Linked DNA regions of Rattus norvegicus. The protein of the gene in region 1 interacts with the protein of each later gene in a pairwise test. Links are inferred from orthologs where the notes say so. Each region holds a gene or a part of one and is shown on either strand. Other genes may lie near its edges.

Region 1 (5,250 bases):
AACTCACAACCATCAGTAACTCCAGGGGATCCAACACCCTCTTCTGCCCCTGTGTGCACATGCAAGCAAGCTCTCATGCATAAAACAAAAACAACGCTATGCTTTTCTTTCCTTTTCTCTTTTTTAAGAGCTAGAGGCATTGTGGCATACACCTTTAATCCCAACTCTGGGGAGGAAGAGGCAGGTAGATCTCTATGAACTGGTCTACACACTGAGCTTCAGGCCAGCCAGGAATACATGGTGAGATCCTGTCTAAAATAAGTAAAATAGGGCTGGAGAGATGGCTCAGCCGTTAAAGGCTAGGCTCACAACCAAAATAAAATACGTAAAATAAAAGAGTGTCCTCACTTATAAGTCTAAAATAATAAAAGAGAGGAGCTGGAGAGATGGCCCAGCGGTTAAGAGCACTTGTTCTTGCAGAGGACCCAGGTTTAAGTCCCAGCACTGAGATGGTCACTCACAACTCTAGTTTCAAGACAGCCTCTGTCTCAGCACCACGTGGTGTACACACACACACATGCAAACAAAGCATCCATAGTATAAAATAAAGACATCTAAAAATAAAATTTAAAAAATAAAAGGGAAGGGGGACAACAGTGTAATTATATTTTAATTTTAAAAAAATTAAAAATACCTAAAATTTTAAAATAAACAACAAAAAAAATCTTTGGTTTGTTTGTTTTTGTTTTCCAAGACAGGGTTTCTTTGAGTCTAGCCCTGGCTGTCCTGGAACTTGATTTGTAGGACAACCTGGCCTCGAACTCAGAGATCTTCCTGCCTTTGCCTCCCAAGTGCTGAGATTAAAGGCTTGTGCCACTACAGCCTAGCTAACAAATTTTTTTTTAAAGAAAATAAAATACTTTTAAAATGCTTTTGTTTATCAAGAGTTTCATATGATGTATTTTGGCCATATTCTTTCTCTTCCTACAACTCCTCCAAAATCGCCCCCAAAAAACAATATTCTTGAGAGACAGTGCAGGATTGTTTATGTGTGTGTACGAGGGGTTGTGCTTCGTTCACATAGGTGGAAAACAGAGATGGACATCGGTGTCCTCCTTGGTAGCTCCCCACCCATGTTTTAAGAGAAGGTTTCTCATAGAACCTGGGCTTCACTGGTCTAACTAATGTGGCCAGCTTCAGGGATCCACCCCTCCTGTGCTAGGATTAAAGATGCCACCACACCTGCCTTTTGTGTGGGCACTGAAGATCCCAACTCAGCTGGGCTGTACTGGCACACACCTTTAACCCCAGCACTGGGAAGGCAGAGGCAGGCAGGTCTGTGAGTTCAAGGTCAACCTGGTCTATGGAGTGAGTTCCAAGACAGCCAGGGCTATAGAGAAAAATCTCTGCTCCAGGAGACAGGGGGATGGGGGGAGTGTAGATTCAAATCGGGTCCTCATGCTTGTTCGGCAGGCATTTGACCAATCTAGCCATCTTCCCAGCTCGCATTACAGATTACGTTTATATGTGCAGAAGCTAGCTAAAGCTTAGCATGGCACCTAGAGCTACCGGCTGATAAGGCCACATGTGCTATGACCTACTGTGCACTGAGTTGCAAAGAAAAGGACCAAGTCCTGATAAGACCGTGTGCTAATTATCAACCGAGTACCAGGCTGCAGGAATCCACATCTACACAGGAAATGGGTCCCCCGGAAGGCACTAGGTGCCCAGGCTAGCCCCAGGGTACCCAGTCACCTCCCCCCACCACCCCAAGGCACTAGGTGCCCAGGTTAGCCCCAGGGTACCCAGTCACCTTTTCCTAACACAGCTCTCATGGCTGTCATGGGAAAGCTAGGGTAAGACAAGAGGAAGCAATTACAGTTTTTGTTGTGGTTTCTTTCATTATCTTCTTGCTGAGACTTGAGAACCCTCATTAAGAGTCCATGCCCTTCAAATACGTTAGCTGTTTTATGCTTTCTTCCCTAAAGAGCTACTGATGACCTTGCCCTGTTTCTGAAGAATCCTGCATAGCCTACAGGCCATTTTCCTGCAGACCACATTAGCCATGTGATGGGATGATCTCACCCATAACTGGAATGGTGTGAACAATTTACAGTCACAGACAATGTCTCGAAAGCATATGAGTACGGAACAAAAGTAAACAGAGGGAACAGCCTGCTCTGTTAACTCTCAGGGCGCCCTCAACTGGACTACTGCCGAGAAGCACAGAAAGGAAGTGTCACGATAAAACTCTCTGAACATAGGTTTATTACAGGGTTACTAAAATGACACCTCACACACTGGGAGGATGCACCGGGGATTTCTTTTAGCAGTGAATAAAACCCCAGCACAGCCATGTGCTACTGATCCCAGTAGGACACACCGGTGTGTAAACATCCCAGCAGACGTTTACAACAACAAGCAGTTGGCTACTGCCATGGCTTCTGTTCCTCTGTTCGGACTCTCCCCAAGAAGGCTTTTGCCTTCCAGTCCTGTTCTCTGTGCCTTAACTGCTGAATCCAGGAGGTACAGAGGACGGGTACCCTCATTTATCCTCACCACTTGGGGAGCTTCTCCAAAGATGGCTAGACAGGCAGAGGTGGCTCATGCCCTTAGTGCCAGCACACAGGAGGCAGAGGAAAGAGGATTTCTGTGAGTTAGAGGCCAGCCAGTCTGGTCTAGAGAGCGAGCTCCGAGACAGCCAAGGCTACACAGAGAAACCCTGTCTCAAAACTAAACAAGCCGACTAAGAGAGACACAGATCTGAGCAATGAACAGGCAAAGTCACAGCTCACCTCCAGTTTCAATGCAGGGGTACTCTGGAGGGGGCTCTCTCCAGTTCCCACTCGAGTCCTTCATGTGAGACCGGTCAGAAGCAAAGTTCTTCAAGTAGGAGTCAGCACGAACCACTCTGAATTTCCTGCGGGTAAATCAACACACGTTTCTATCAGGGAGTTATCACCGCTGGCAATCCAACTCATTGCTAACTGGACTCTGTTCTATGAGATACACAAGGCTACTCCTGAGTTTCCACACCGATACGAATGCATGCACATGTGCGTGGCTAGTACAAGCGGAAGGGAATGACTGAAACCCCAAGCTGTGAAAATACAGAGAGCAAATCACCCAGTTGTTCTTATTTACACATAAGGGGTCCAGCATTCTAGTAACACTGCACAGAAGGGGCAAAGGGTAGGACTTTTGCTGTTGCCTTGCAACTTTCTTGATTTTGACAACATTGGCCATGCTGACACTCCAGCAACAAGAGAAAAACCCTCAACACATCTGAAAGAAAATGTTGAGCTCATCACACTTTTTTCTTTCTTTCTTTTTTTTTTTTCAGAGCTGGGGACCGAACCCAGGGCCTTGCTAGGCAAGCACTCTACCACTGAGCTAAATCCCCAACCCACACTTTTTTCTTAACACGTGTGTGTGTGTGTGTGTGTGTGTGTGTGTGTGTGTGTGTGTGTGTTTATGGTCAAAGGTAATCTATAGATATCAATTCTTTCTTTCCACCCTGTGAATCTCAGAGATGGAACCTGGGTCTTCAAGCTTGGCTGGTCCTCAGCACACTGATATTTATAATGCCGCCAACCCTTTGAATGACGAGGAACCTTTAAAGCTTTAAGATGCTCTTAAGCTCTTGCATAACAGGCACACCAATAATGCAGAAAGAGGAGGGTGGAGACAGAGGAGAAGGGAGAGGAAGCGCAGAGGGGGAGGGGAGAAGAGAGAAAAAGACTGAGAAAAGGAAAGGGAGGGAAAGGAGGAAGGAGGCAGAGAGGGGACTTCTGTGTAATCACCAAGTCTTACTTCAGAAAATCAGTAGCTTGGTACTGAATTTCCTCACCTCCTAAACTGTGGATGAATGTCATCATCAGACTTAAGGGCATCTTCTATGTAAATGTCGAAAGGGCAGGGAAATGGCAAAATAGTATCAAGGTCATAAATGAAGCTCTGTCCTTCCCTTGACACATGAAGCAGAACGACATGATAATCCTAGGAATAATAATCACTGAGGTTAACCCAGTTAGTGCAGGACGGTCCATCCCAACATCACGGTCAGCACACAGCAGCACATTAGCAGGGAAGCAGCCGTCGGCCTAACGTCCTCTCCTTGTAACTCCTAAGCTAAATGAGAGGAAACACAAAGCCGCAACTCTGAAAAGTGGCCAGTGACTGGGACACGGCTAAACAATCAGTGTGTGACACACTGTTCCGTAACACCCCATGTTCTATAGTTGGACAGAAAAACTGATTGTAGGACGCAGATGTATTTTGTATTATATTTCAAGGTTTGAGCATGTAAAGATCAAAATGTGCATTAAGAAGCATATACTTATTCACATGCATGAATGCAAAAGAAGGCTTCAAAGGTATCTTCTACACTTCGGATCTTCACTACCCATTCACCCTCACCCCCAGGGGGAAAAAAAAAAAAAAAAAAACCTTGTATTGAAGGCTTACTTATCAGGGTGGCAATAGAGAGGCAGTGGAAGCTTCAAGTGGTGAAGCCAGAATGGGTGTGGTGACACACACTTTAATCCTGACACTCAAGAGGGAGAGGCAGGTGGGTCCCTGCGAGTCCAAGGCCAGCCTGAGGTACATGCAGAGTTCCAGGCCAGTCAGAACTACATACTGAGACCTTAAAAACAAAAACACAGTGAAGCCTAGTGAGAAGTGTCCTGGTCACTGGGGGTGTATCCTTGAAGGACATTAGGAGCCCAGCCCTTTCCTCTTCTTCCTCTCCTTGGCCATAAGACAAACAGCTCTGCCCCACCACATGTCTGTGCCTCAGTACAGGCGCAAATGCAGAGCCAAGCAGTCATGGACTGAAACCCAAAATGAGCACAAAATAACCTCTCCTCACCGTGATTCGTCCCCTGTACCATTTACAGCGACAGGAAGTGAGTGGCCCTCCAAACTGCTAAGTAGGGGTTTCCCGAGGTGAGGGCAAGGAAGAGCATGACTTTCCAATTTGTATTACTTTTCTAATTTAAAAAAAAAAATTAAACCAAAAAAGGAAAAGAAAAAACAAACAAAGCAGCCAACCTTTCATGTGCTTGGGAAGGATCTCATCTCAAGGGAGAAGGATAAAGACAGTTCTCACAGCCCTGCTGGTTACAGAATGGAGGCTACCTCTTACTCTCCAGATACAAGGCACTGCCAGCACCAGCTGATGGCAAGGAGGACATAGGACTCTCAAGGGACAGGTATGCAGGCTGGTGCTTCAAACCCAGGAGAAAATGTTGCAGGAGAAAACGCACCAGAACACCCGTTGAGCGTACAAGTGTGCTAACAGCACCTGGA
Region 2 (4,512 bases), on another chromosome or scaffold:
AGTGCTTCCCCATCTGTTCTCCATGTAGGGTGAGGAACTCCAAACAGAACAGTGACGTAGGAGACCTGTGCTTCCAGCCAAGACTGTTGCTCCGATGGTCCACACCAACATGGTCTTCAGTGTAATTCCCTCATCCTAGCTGATAAGCAGCTCCTCAGTGCCCCTCCTAAGGGTGCCTCCAGAGCTCCCTACAGAGATATTAATGAGGTAGCCTTCAGACATTGATAGAGACCCTCACGGTGCTTCCTCAGAGCCATAGCCACTGCCTCCTAGGGCCAGTAACTGTGCCCTTCCGATTTATAAATGCTTTCAATGAGTCCTTGGTAGGCTTGCCCGTTAGTCCTGGTGCGACAAGGATAGCATAGAATACCTTCTGTGCCAAGGCTCAGACTATGTTCACCTCTCTCTGCCCAGGGATTGCAGCTGCCACCATCTTCAGCCCTAGCAAGGATGTGGTCGTGTCCCAGAGTCAGCTCCGCGTGGCCTTCGATGGGGACGCAGTACTTTTCTCCGATGAGTCAGAGCGCATTGTCAAGGCCCATGGGCTGGACAGATTCTTTGAGCATGAGAAGGCCCACGAGAACAAACCTTTGGCGCAGGTGCCACGCATTCCCAGAACTCCTGAGTAACTCCTCATTCCCCAGAACCTGGACTGGCCGGAATCCAGGGCCAAACCCAGGCTAAGTCCACACCCCACCAGGCCCTCTCCTACTAAGAACCAAGCCTCCTCTCTCCTTGGTTTTTCAAATCAAAGTTTCTCTGTGTAGGCGTGGGTGTCCTGAAACTTGATTTGTAAACTAGACTGGCCTTGAACTCAGAGATCCACCTCCCTCTGCCTCCCGAGCTCTGAACCTCTCCCACTTGGCTCCTTGCTCCTTTCATTGAGACCCCACCCCTTCACTAAGTCCCACCTCCTCACTCAAGTGCCAGTGCTTCACCTCCTGGGTCTCCAGCATCTCTCCAAGCACCTCACCGAAGCCTTCCCTGACTCTCTGTTTTTATTCCTCCAAACGCTGTCTCAGGAGCCCCCAGGCCCTATTCTGAATCTTGAACCCTCTCTAAAGTTCCAAGTCCCAACTCCACAAAAACCTCTCTCTGTCCGTCTCTCTCTGTCTCTCTGTCTCTGTCCGTCTCTCTGTCTCTCTGTCTCTGTCCGTCTCTCTGTCTCTCTGTCTCTGTCCGTCTCTCTCTGTCTCTCTGTCTCTGTCTGTCTCTGTCTGTCTCTGTCTGTCTCTCTGTCTCTGTCCGTCTCTCTCTGTCTCTCTGTCTCTGTCCATCTCTCTCTGTCTCTCTGTCTCTCCCCCCCCTCTCTCTCTCTCTGTCACACACACACACACACACACACACACACACACACACACGCATGCACGCACACACCCCTCTTAGTCCATTGTCCTTTCCCTGTGACCCTCAGCTCTCTCTTGGGATACCCTCCTGAGTAAGGCCCCATCCTGCCAGAAGCTCCTGCTTCCTCACTGAGAGACAAGAGGAGCTCCATATTACACCATCATAGGGAGCGAGGGCTGTGGGTCCCCTTGGGCCACCTCTTGTCATTCCTTAAGTGGCTCAGGGAACCTCACCTGTCTGTGTGCGGGGAGGGGGGGGTAAGGGGATTCCCTAGCTCCACTGGGAACTCCAGTCTGAGCTTTTACAGGAATCTGGGAGCCAGAGCAGTGCACTTTCCCACTAGGTGGTTAACAGAACGCAGCTTACCCCAGGTTCCTAAGCTAGGAAAACCTCCAAGCCTAGCAGGCTACGTCCCTGGCTTCCAGTTGATTTGAAAATGAACCACACTCTGTACCATCCAGTTCTCTCCTCACAGATCCTCAGTGGCGCTTTCCCCTGACCTCAGAGCTTGATCCCCAGAGACACATATGCATCTGTCCACAGGCAGGCTCATAGTCAGTGGTTACACATCTGGCCCAGATGCTCCCAGACAGAATGGAGTCTGTGCTGATTGGCTCATTGTGCCACCATTACTAGCTCATTCTTATTGCTTCTCTGCTGATGAGCACAGACCACACTTACAGAGCTGTAGGATGAATTGCTGTAGGCCACACGAACGGATATTCATAGCAACAGTTGCCCTGGTTATGGTTATTCATTTATTTATTTATTATGTATACAATGTAGCCTGCATGTATACCATGCAGGTCAGAAAAGGGCACCAGATCTCATTACAGATAGTTGTGAGCCACCATGTGGTTGCTGGGAATTGAACTCAGGACCTCTGGAAGAGCAGACAGGGCTCTTAACCACTGAGCCATCTCTCCAGCCCGGTTATGGTTATTCTTAAACAGCCCTAATCACATTAAGACCGACCCCAGACTAAGGTACCTACAGCTCTGTATGCACACAGGCGCCAGATGGGGCAGACGGAAACTACCCAAGGATTTAGGGATTTCCCACCCCAACAGCCAATCACTGATGCTTTAGGACGAAAGGCAAAATGTTTTGGAGAGGTGAATTAATCAGCATCTCTGTTTCCTTTTCTCCACAGGGTCCCCTAAAGGGCTTCCTGGAAGCACTAGGTAGGCTGCAGAAGAAATTCTACTCCAAAGGCCTGCGGCTGGAGTGCCCGATTCGTACTTACTTGGTGACAGCGCGCAGCGCAGCCAGTTCTGGAGCCCGGGCCCTCAAGACCCTACGTAGCTGGGGCCTGGAGACGGATGAGGCCTTATTCCTAGCTGGAGCACCCAAGGGCCCTCTTCTTGAGAAGATCCGCCCACACATCTTCTTTGATGACCAGATGTTTCACGTGGCCGGAGCTCAGGAGATGGGCACCGTGGCCGCCCACGTGCCTTACGGCGTAGCTCAGAATCCACGGAGGGAAAAGCAGTCCCTAGGCGCACAGTAGCTGAGCTACCTTGCTCCAGGCCCTGTCACGTTTCTGAACCGCGGCTGGTGAGCTTTTCAGGCTCCTCACTGTCCACCCTCCTGCATGCCGCACTCATCTCTCTGTACCAGGTACTCTTAGAACGTTAGGAAGACAGAGCCAGCAGTCTCGAAATCCCTCCTGGGCAAACATTGCCATGACCCTGGCTAGAAAGCAGCACTCGGCAGAGTATCCTGGGTGTCAGAGAGAAACTGGTGGGACAGAGAGTTGTGTAGACAGAGAAGCCAGCATGCCTAAGGGCTTGGGATGAGAACTATCTCTAACGTAGCGCAAAGAACACTGTGTGAACGTGGGTAGATTTAACATCTAAAGCAGATCTGGCATGGATGCATGACTTAAGTTCCCCTTTTTCATAAGCCTTGGCATACTACCATTTTTTTGGGTGGCTTTCAATTTGTTCTTTAGCCAAAGAAGCTTGGTTTTATAAGATTGTGCACTAAATTAATCATTTAGTGCTGGGGCTGCTAGTACCCACGGCACCTGTGTGGATTACAAAAGGACACTGTCTAAGTGAATGCATTACAAAACTAATGGCCCTTCCTTCCTCTGGCCCGAGCCGGGATATAGGCTAGATTCCAGCCCTTTGCCCCTCAACCCCGAGGCCCATCAAATGAGAAGTGTGCACAGTGCTGCACAGTGCTGCACAGATTCTCTCTCGATAATTTTTTCATGTTTAGAAACCACTGCCCAAGGTGACCCTTTGCTTGCTGTGATTTGCTAACCTGAGCCGTGGAGAGCTGCTACATGCAAGGTGTTTGAAGAACTGAAGGGAGGAACGTCGCCCACATGCAGATTCTCCTCTAGCCAGCAGAGGGCACTGCAGGCTCTCTCTGAAGAAGGCTTCAGTGGCTCGCCAACTCTGGGTTTCCTTTGCCTCTAGCTTCAGGGCAAAGTTCAGTTAGTCCTGCCTGCCGGTCTCCTCAGCTCAGTCCTGGGTCTGCCAGTCATTTCCACCTTCCGTGCTGTAAGGAAGTTCTCCTAACAGAGAAGGAACTCTAGCCCTAAATATGGAGAAACCACAGGCTCTAAAGCGAGTCGTTGTCCAGGCTGTGCCTGAGGTGTAGGTGCCACAGTGAGATGTGGGAAGTATCAGGTCTGTTCTGAAACCAAAGACGCTAAGAAAGTGGTAGCTTAGGGAGGAATGAGTTGAATGCGTCCCAGCATGGTTCTGCTGTGGAGAGTGAGTAGAAGTCAGTCAGAGCTACCCCGGAAGTAATACGCTGTCATCAGGGTGCTATGCAAAGGATTCTGGGATGAACCAGCCTTCCTGAGAGATATCCGCGGTTGATCCATCTTTGCATGAATCTCTACAGCCCTTTCTTCTCCACCTGATGAGTGATGGACCACCTCCTTCTTTGCTAAGCAGCCCTGGCACTCAGAGGAAGGGTGGAAGAGTGGATGGTTGCCCCCCTTGGAAGACAAGAAAGGGCAAGCATGAATGTGTACAATGATTGCCTGGTTCCCACAGGGATTTCAGCAATGAGGGAACCCAGAAGCATCATCAGAGGGCCAGGAGCTGAGGAGGGCCAGAGGAGAGGAGCCTGGAGGTAGGGGGAAGGCATCCGGGGACTCAAACCTCTGTCCTTCTAGGATTTGAATCAGGGTCTGAATGAGTT
Region 3 (5,250 bases), on another chromosome or scaffold:
GATATTAACTAGAAGGCTAGACATGGTAGCACATACCTATATTCCCAGTAATCTCAGTTCTTCAGAGAGAGGAGATGGTTGATACTAGCTGAAAGGATTATTATTATTGGATATCACGTATTGAAGACTCCAGTGGTAGGGCTGTGCATACGTAGAGCTTCCAAATATTCTTAATTTTGGCTTAGTGATGGGTGAACTTCTGTTACCTCATTGTGAATGTAACCTGTCTTAGCTCTGCGAGGCTGTTCCTTTGCGTCTCTCCCACCCTGCTCTCCCCCTTCTCTTCACCTAAGGCCGTCCCTGCCTTTTCTCTTTGGCTTGCCATCAGCGGTCTGTGCCAGGCCCTTTCGGACACCCAGTGCTTGGGGCTGCAGTGTGGTTGGTAATGTGGAGTCTGCTTGTCATCCTCAGCATCCAGCCATGCCCTGATGTAAAGTATGGCAAACGTATCCATGTGCTACCCATTGATGACACAGTGGAAGGCATCACTGGCAATCTTTTTGAGGTATACCTTAAGCCGTACTTCCTGGAAGCATATCGGCCCATCCGTAAAGGTGAGAGAAACTGAGTTTAAGAACAGTTGTTACTTGAGTAAACTTTTAACAATTCCATGTTATTTTCATGTGTCTGAGTATTATGTATAGCTATAATCTGCACACATATTCAATTGTCAGCTCTCTTACCTCCCTTCTGTGCTCTAGTATAGTAAGCAGTTCTCATGTATTTCTGAAGGGTAATGTGGTTTTGCTGTCAAATTGGCAGTGTATTGCTCTTCCATTGTTGGTTGTAGTGAAAGCTTAGGCCGTCTACACCCTAATAGTTAAAGGGGCTTTTGTCATATTCCTGGGATATAGTACAGAGTTGTGTTTCACTATTGCCTGGTGTGGGAAAGGAAGGCATAAGTAATAGCTACTGAGCTTTGAATTTGAGATCATGTGGTCTAGTGAAGAAGTCTCAGGTGGTCTTGTACTTGACACCTCTAATTGCACATGTATTGCTTTGTATTATAGGAGATATTTTCCTTGTCCGGGGTGGGATGCGTGCTGTGGAGTTCAAAGTAGTAGAGACAGATCCCAGCCCTTACTGTATTGTTGCTCCAGACACAGTGATCCACTGTGAGGGGGAGCCAATCAAGCGAGAGGTGAGTTACTCCCTAATCCCAGCCATGGTTTTATTTTGCTTTTTGCTTGTGGTTCTGGGAATTGAACCCAGGGCCGTGTGCATGTTAGGCCTACCACTGAAATACATCCTCATCTCCCAAATTCATTGGCACTCGGGTAGCATTTGTGTTGCTTATCAAACGGAATACTTTTCAAGATTAGATGGCCTTAATAGAAGTAGAAAACCACGTTAAGTATTTCTTGAAAGAACCTACTTCCACGAATTTAAGACAAAGCCGAGAGGTGTAAATGGCTGCCAGTAAGTGTGGTGGTACATGCCAATAGTCCTGGTGCGTAGGAGGTGGAGGTGGGAAGATTGCTGTGAGTTTGAGTCCAGCAGGATGGCCTATGAAGTGAGATCCTGTCTCAAAAACGTAAATGAGCGATAGCTTGGTGGCTCAGCACTGGCTGCTCTTCAAGGGGTCCTGAGTTCAATTCCCAGCACCCACATGGCTATATTTGATCGCGTTCCTATTCCCCTTGTTTGTTTTTTGAGACTGGGTCTCATGTTGTTCTCTCTGGCCTAGAATTCACAGTGATCTGCCTGCTTCTGCCTCCCAAGATGGAATTAAAGCATGTGCATTGTGTGCAAAATTCTACTGATCCCACCCCAGTCTTCCCACTCTCATAACTTTTTTAAACCTTTATTTACCTGAATGGGTAGTATGCCTACATGTGTGTCTATATAACATGTCTCTGTTAGCTCCCCTGAGATGAGTTAGAGGCAGTTAATTGTCATGTGGGTATTGGGAATTAAACCCACGTCTTCTGGAAGAGCAACCAGTGCTCTTAACCCTAAACCATCTCTCCAGTACCCCCAACCCCCACTCCCTTTGGTGACCAACTGAATTTATTTAGAATTGATCTTGTGTGGGGGAGGCTATCTGACAGCTACAGCTTACCAGTGGCTATACTGCCACTAAGGAATACTCTGTCTTCCAGCTCCTCAGTGCCAGATTGCTTGTCTGGCACACCACTCGGGAGGCAGAACTCAGTCTGCAATGGGGGTCCCAGTCCATGTTTTTTTTCTGTATGGGAAACTGGAGTTTGTGACTATTGGTATGGTTTCTGGCCTTCTGTGTACCCAGGCACTTCTGGTGTGCAACATCTACTTGCTAGGCAGGAAGGGAAAGGCAGAGCCTGGGACAGGTGGAACTTGGTTTGATTCCGAATGAGTGCTGAGAGTACGGAGGGGCTGGAAGAGAGAAGTCCTGGACATTTAGGGTTTGTTATAAAGACCCCCAACCCCTACAGAGATCCTTGATCGAAGAGAAGGTCCTTGCTTGTCCAAACTGCTTTATTTGATGGCAGATGTTAATACAATACCTTAATCTGAGTGAGCTAGAGATTGAATACCTTCTTCAGGAACCAGTGCCCCAGAAGGGAAGCTCCTGAATTGAATGCCCAAGGCCTATCTAGATAGCTCAGTAGCTTATCGAACTTTATGCTGTGTGACTGATTGCCACGGTTCTCAGTGGGCTTCCAGAACAGGTTTAGGCAGAGTTGGCTCCAGTCCAACTGTTCTCAGTTCTGAGTTTCATGGGGTTTAGGCTCATTCAACCTTACCAGTTCTTTTGTCTGGTGGTACAGTCCACTTGCCCCACACCTCAGGGTAGGGTGGTGCCTTTATGAACCAACTCCCAAACCCCGCTCCATTCAGGATGGGATGTTGATAAACCCAGTTCTGTGTAGGTCAACTTTAGTTTAGGGATCCCTTTTCAGTAAAATAAGGACTGCTCATAAGAGAGCAGTGTTTGGGTGTTTTTACTTTGTTTTATTTTCCTTTTACTGGGTATTGCTGTATAAGCTGACTGCAATTCACTGTGGCTTAAGCTGGCCTCACATCCAGTCTTTCTGCCTTCCAAGTACAGAATTTACAGACATGTTACCTGGCTTAAGACAAGATCCCTGCAGAAGAGAATCTTCTCACACAACATATTTTTTTCCATACCAAATAGTGGGAGGACTTGGAGAAATTGTATATTTGCTGACAATATTATTCTGGTTTTTGTTGTTGTTTTATACTCTTTTATATTCAGGATGAGGAGGAGTCCTTGAATGAAGTAGGCTATGATGACATCGGTGGTTGCAGGAAGCAGCTAGCTCAGATAAAGGAGATGGTGGAGCTGCCACTGAGACATCCTGCACTCTTTAAGGCAATTGGTGTGAAGGTGAGTATCCTAAGATCTGTGGGGAGTCTAAGACAGTGCTATAATGTTTTCTCATGGTGTGACTGATGCCCTAAATGGCTTAAAGGGGCAATAATAATCTTTGGGTTTATAGAAGGCTCTAAAAATTCATTAGAGCTATAGATTGTCATGTATATGTATGTACGCGTATACACACATAATATGCTTAAACAATGAGATCTCCCATGGATCGTATTAAAATTTTAACCATAATTTTGCCAATATTTGTAGAGTATTACTCAATAAAAGAAGGAAATTAATCGAGTTTTCAGATCCTGAGTTAAACACCTGAGAACCACCACCTGTCTAGAATAGTTTTTTGACCTTTTATATGTAATAGAACACACTAAAGATGAAGTGTGACTACTTTGCTTACTAAGCATACAAGTGGTTTTGTCTTGAGGGCAGTTTCAATGTCTTGTGGATAAGGCTGCAGACAACTTACAAGAAAGGTGCAGTTGATTATTTTAGAAGAAAAGACATGCCTTCATTCTCTCTGAGGCAGAGGCAGGCGCATCTATGAATTTGAGACTTGACAACCATATCTACAGAGAGTGGTTCCAGGACAGCCAGGGTTGCACAGAGAAGTCCTATTTGTCTGTTTTAGGAAAGGAATCTTGTTTTGAAAAAAAGACATTCTAGGGCTGGAGAGATGACCAGCAGTTAGAACAGTGACTGCTCTTCCAGAGATCCTGAGTTCAATTCTTAGGAACTATCGGAAATACCACTCAGTAGCAAAATTAGAGTTATGAAGTAGCAATTAAAACTTACGGTTGGGAAATCCTAAGACATCAGAAATAGGTGTTTTCCAGTGATCGTGACCCACAGATTTAGAACCACTGTCCTAAAAGGTTGTAAACACATGAGTGAAGAGCTCTAACCCTGAAAAACAGACCTTGCTTTAGTAGTAAGTACCTTGCATCCTGGTTTGTCCAAAGGGAAATTATTGAGGCCTTGGCATAATAACTTATTATTCACTGTCCTTCCAGTTTGTAAAGTCCCCCAGGTGTGACTTTTTAAAGGTGGTTCTTTTTTTTTTTTAAGGTTGTTCACTATTAGTCTCCTATGCAAATTGAGTTTATAAATGTTAGTGTTTATTTCCAAGGAGAGAGGGGGTGGAGGGGGAGAGGGAGGGAGGGACGGAGAGAGAGGGGGAGAGAGAGGGAGAGAGAGAGAGAGAGAGAGAGAGAGAGAGAGAGAGAGAGAGAGAGAGAGAGTGTGTGTGTAGCAGCAGACAGGGCTTCTTTCTTTATGTATCCTTAGCTATCCTGGAACTCGCTATATAGACCGGGTTAGCCTCAAATTCAGAGACCTACCTGCCTCTGCCTTGAGTTCTGGGATTAAAGATGCAAACCACATCTGGCTCTTTGTGTTTTCTTTTGGTCTCCCATTGTAAGTCAGTCTGGCCTCGACTATGCAATTCTTACTATTCTCTTCAGCTGGGTTTATAAACGGGTCTCAAAGGCTTGTGTGTTCTTTTTTATGTGTGTGGCTGTTAGTTTCGTTAATGTATATGTAGACACCACAAGCTTTCAGTATCTACAACTGACCAGAAGAAGACATCAGCTAGATCCTCTAGAACTGGAGTTACAGGTGGTTGTCAGCCACATCCACAATCAGTGGAAGAGTAGCCAGTGCTCTTAAATGCTGAGCCATCCCTCTAAACCCCAAAGACTTTTTCTTTATGGTATCAGTATAGAGCCCCGTTTCTCATCCCTCACTAGAGCTCTAGTCCAGCTACTTTTGGATGGGGGGTTGGGGGAAGGTAAACTCCTGACCCTAACTGAACTTTGTTGTCCTCAGCCTCCTCGGGGAATCTTGCTATATGGACCTCCTGGGACAGGGAAAACCTTGATTGCCCGAGCTGTGGCAAATGAAACTGGAGCCTTCTTCTTTCTGAT

What was found. The genes of interacting proteins can lie anywhere in the genome.
Region 2: the proteins of Ntaq1 (region 1) and Nt5c1a interact in binary tests that used the Homo sapiens proteins (3 or more experiments, as listed by UniProt). The two-hybrid records come from large-scale screens. The link is inferred for Rattus norvegicus from reciprocal best matches to the Homo sapiens genes NTAQ1 and NT5C1A.
Region 3: the proteins of Ntaq1 (region 1) and Vcp interact in binary tests that used the Homo sapiens proteins (3 or more experiments, as listed by UniProt). The two-hybrid records come from large-scale screens. The link is inferred for Rattus norvegicus from reciprocal best matches to the Homo sapiens genes NTAQ1 and VCP.

The regions. Positions count from the first base shown.
Region 1 is NC_086025.1:91,586,782-91,592,031, reverse strand, and holds part of Ntaq1 (protein N-terminal glutamine amidohydrolase), read right to left. Parts: exon of another isoform or gene 3,940-5,250; coding exon 3,791-3,939; exon of another isoform or gene 3,261-3,790; intron 2,861-3,260; coding exon 2,736-2,860; intron 1-2,735. UniProt on the Homo sapiens protein: Mediates the side-chain deamidation of N-terminal glutamine residues to glutamate, an important step in N-end rule pathway of protein degradation.
Region 2 is NC_086023.1:140,770,510-140,775,021, forward strand, and holds the end of Nt5c1a (cytosolic 5'-nucleotidase 1A), read left to right. Parts: intron 1-414; coding exon 415-599; intron 600-2,500; coding exon 2,501-2,857; downstream 2,858-4,512.
Region 3 is NC_086023.1:62,014,233-62,019,482, reverse strand, and holds part of Vcp (transitional endoplasmic reticulum ATPase), read left to right. Parts: intron 1-411; coding exon 412-554; intron 555-1,010; coding exon 1,011-1,141; intron 1,142-3,199; coding exon 3,200-3,331; intron 3,332-5,152; coding exon 5,153-5,250. UniProt on the Homo sapiens protein: Necessary for the fragmentation of Golgi stacks during mitosis and for their reassembly after mitosis. Involved in the formation of the transitional endoplasmic reticulum (tER).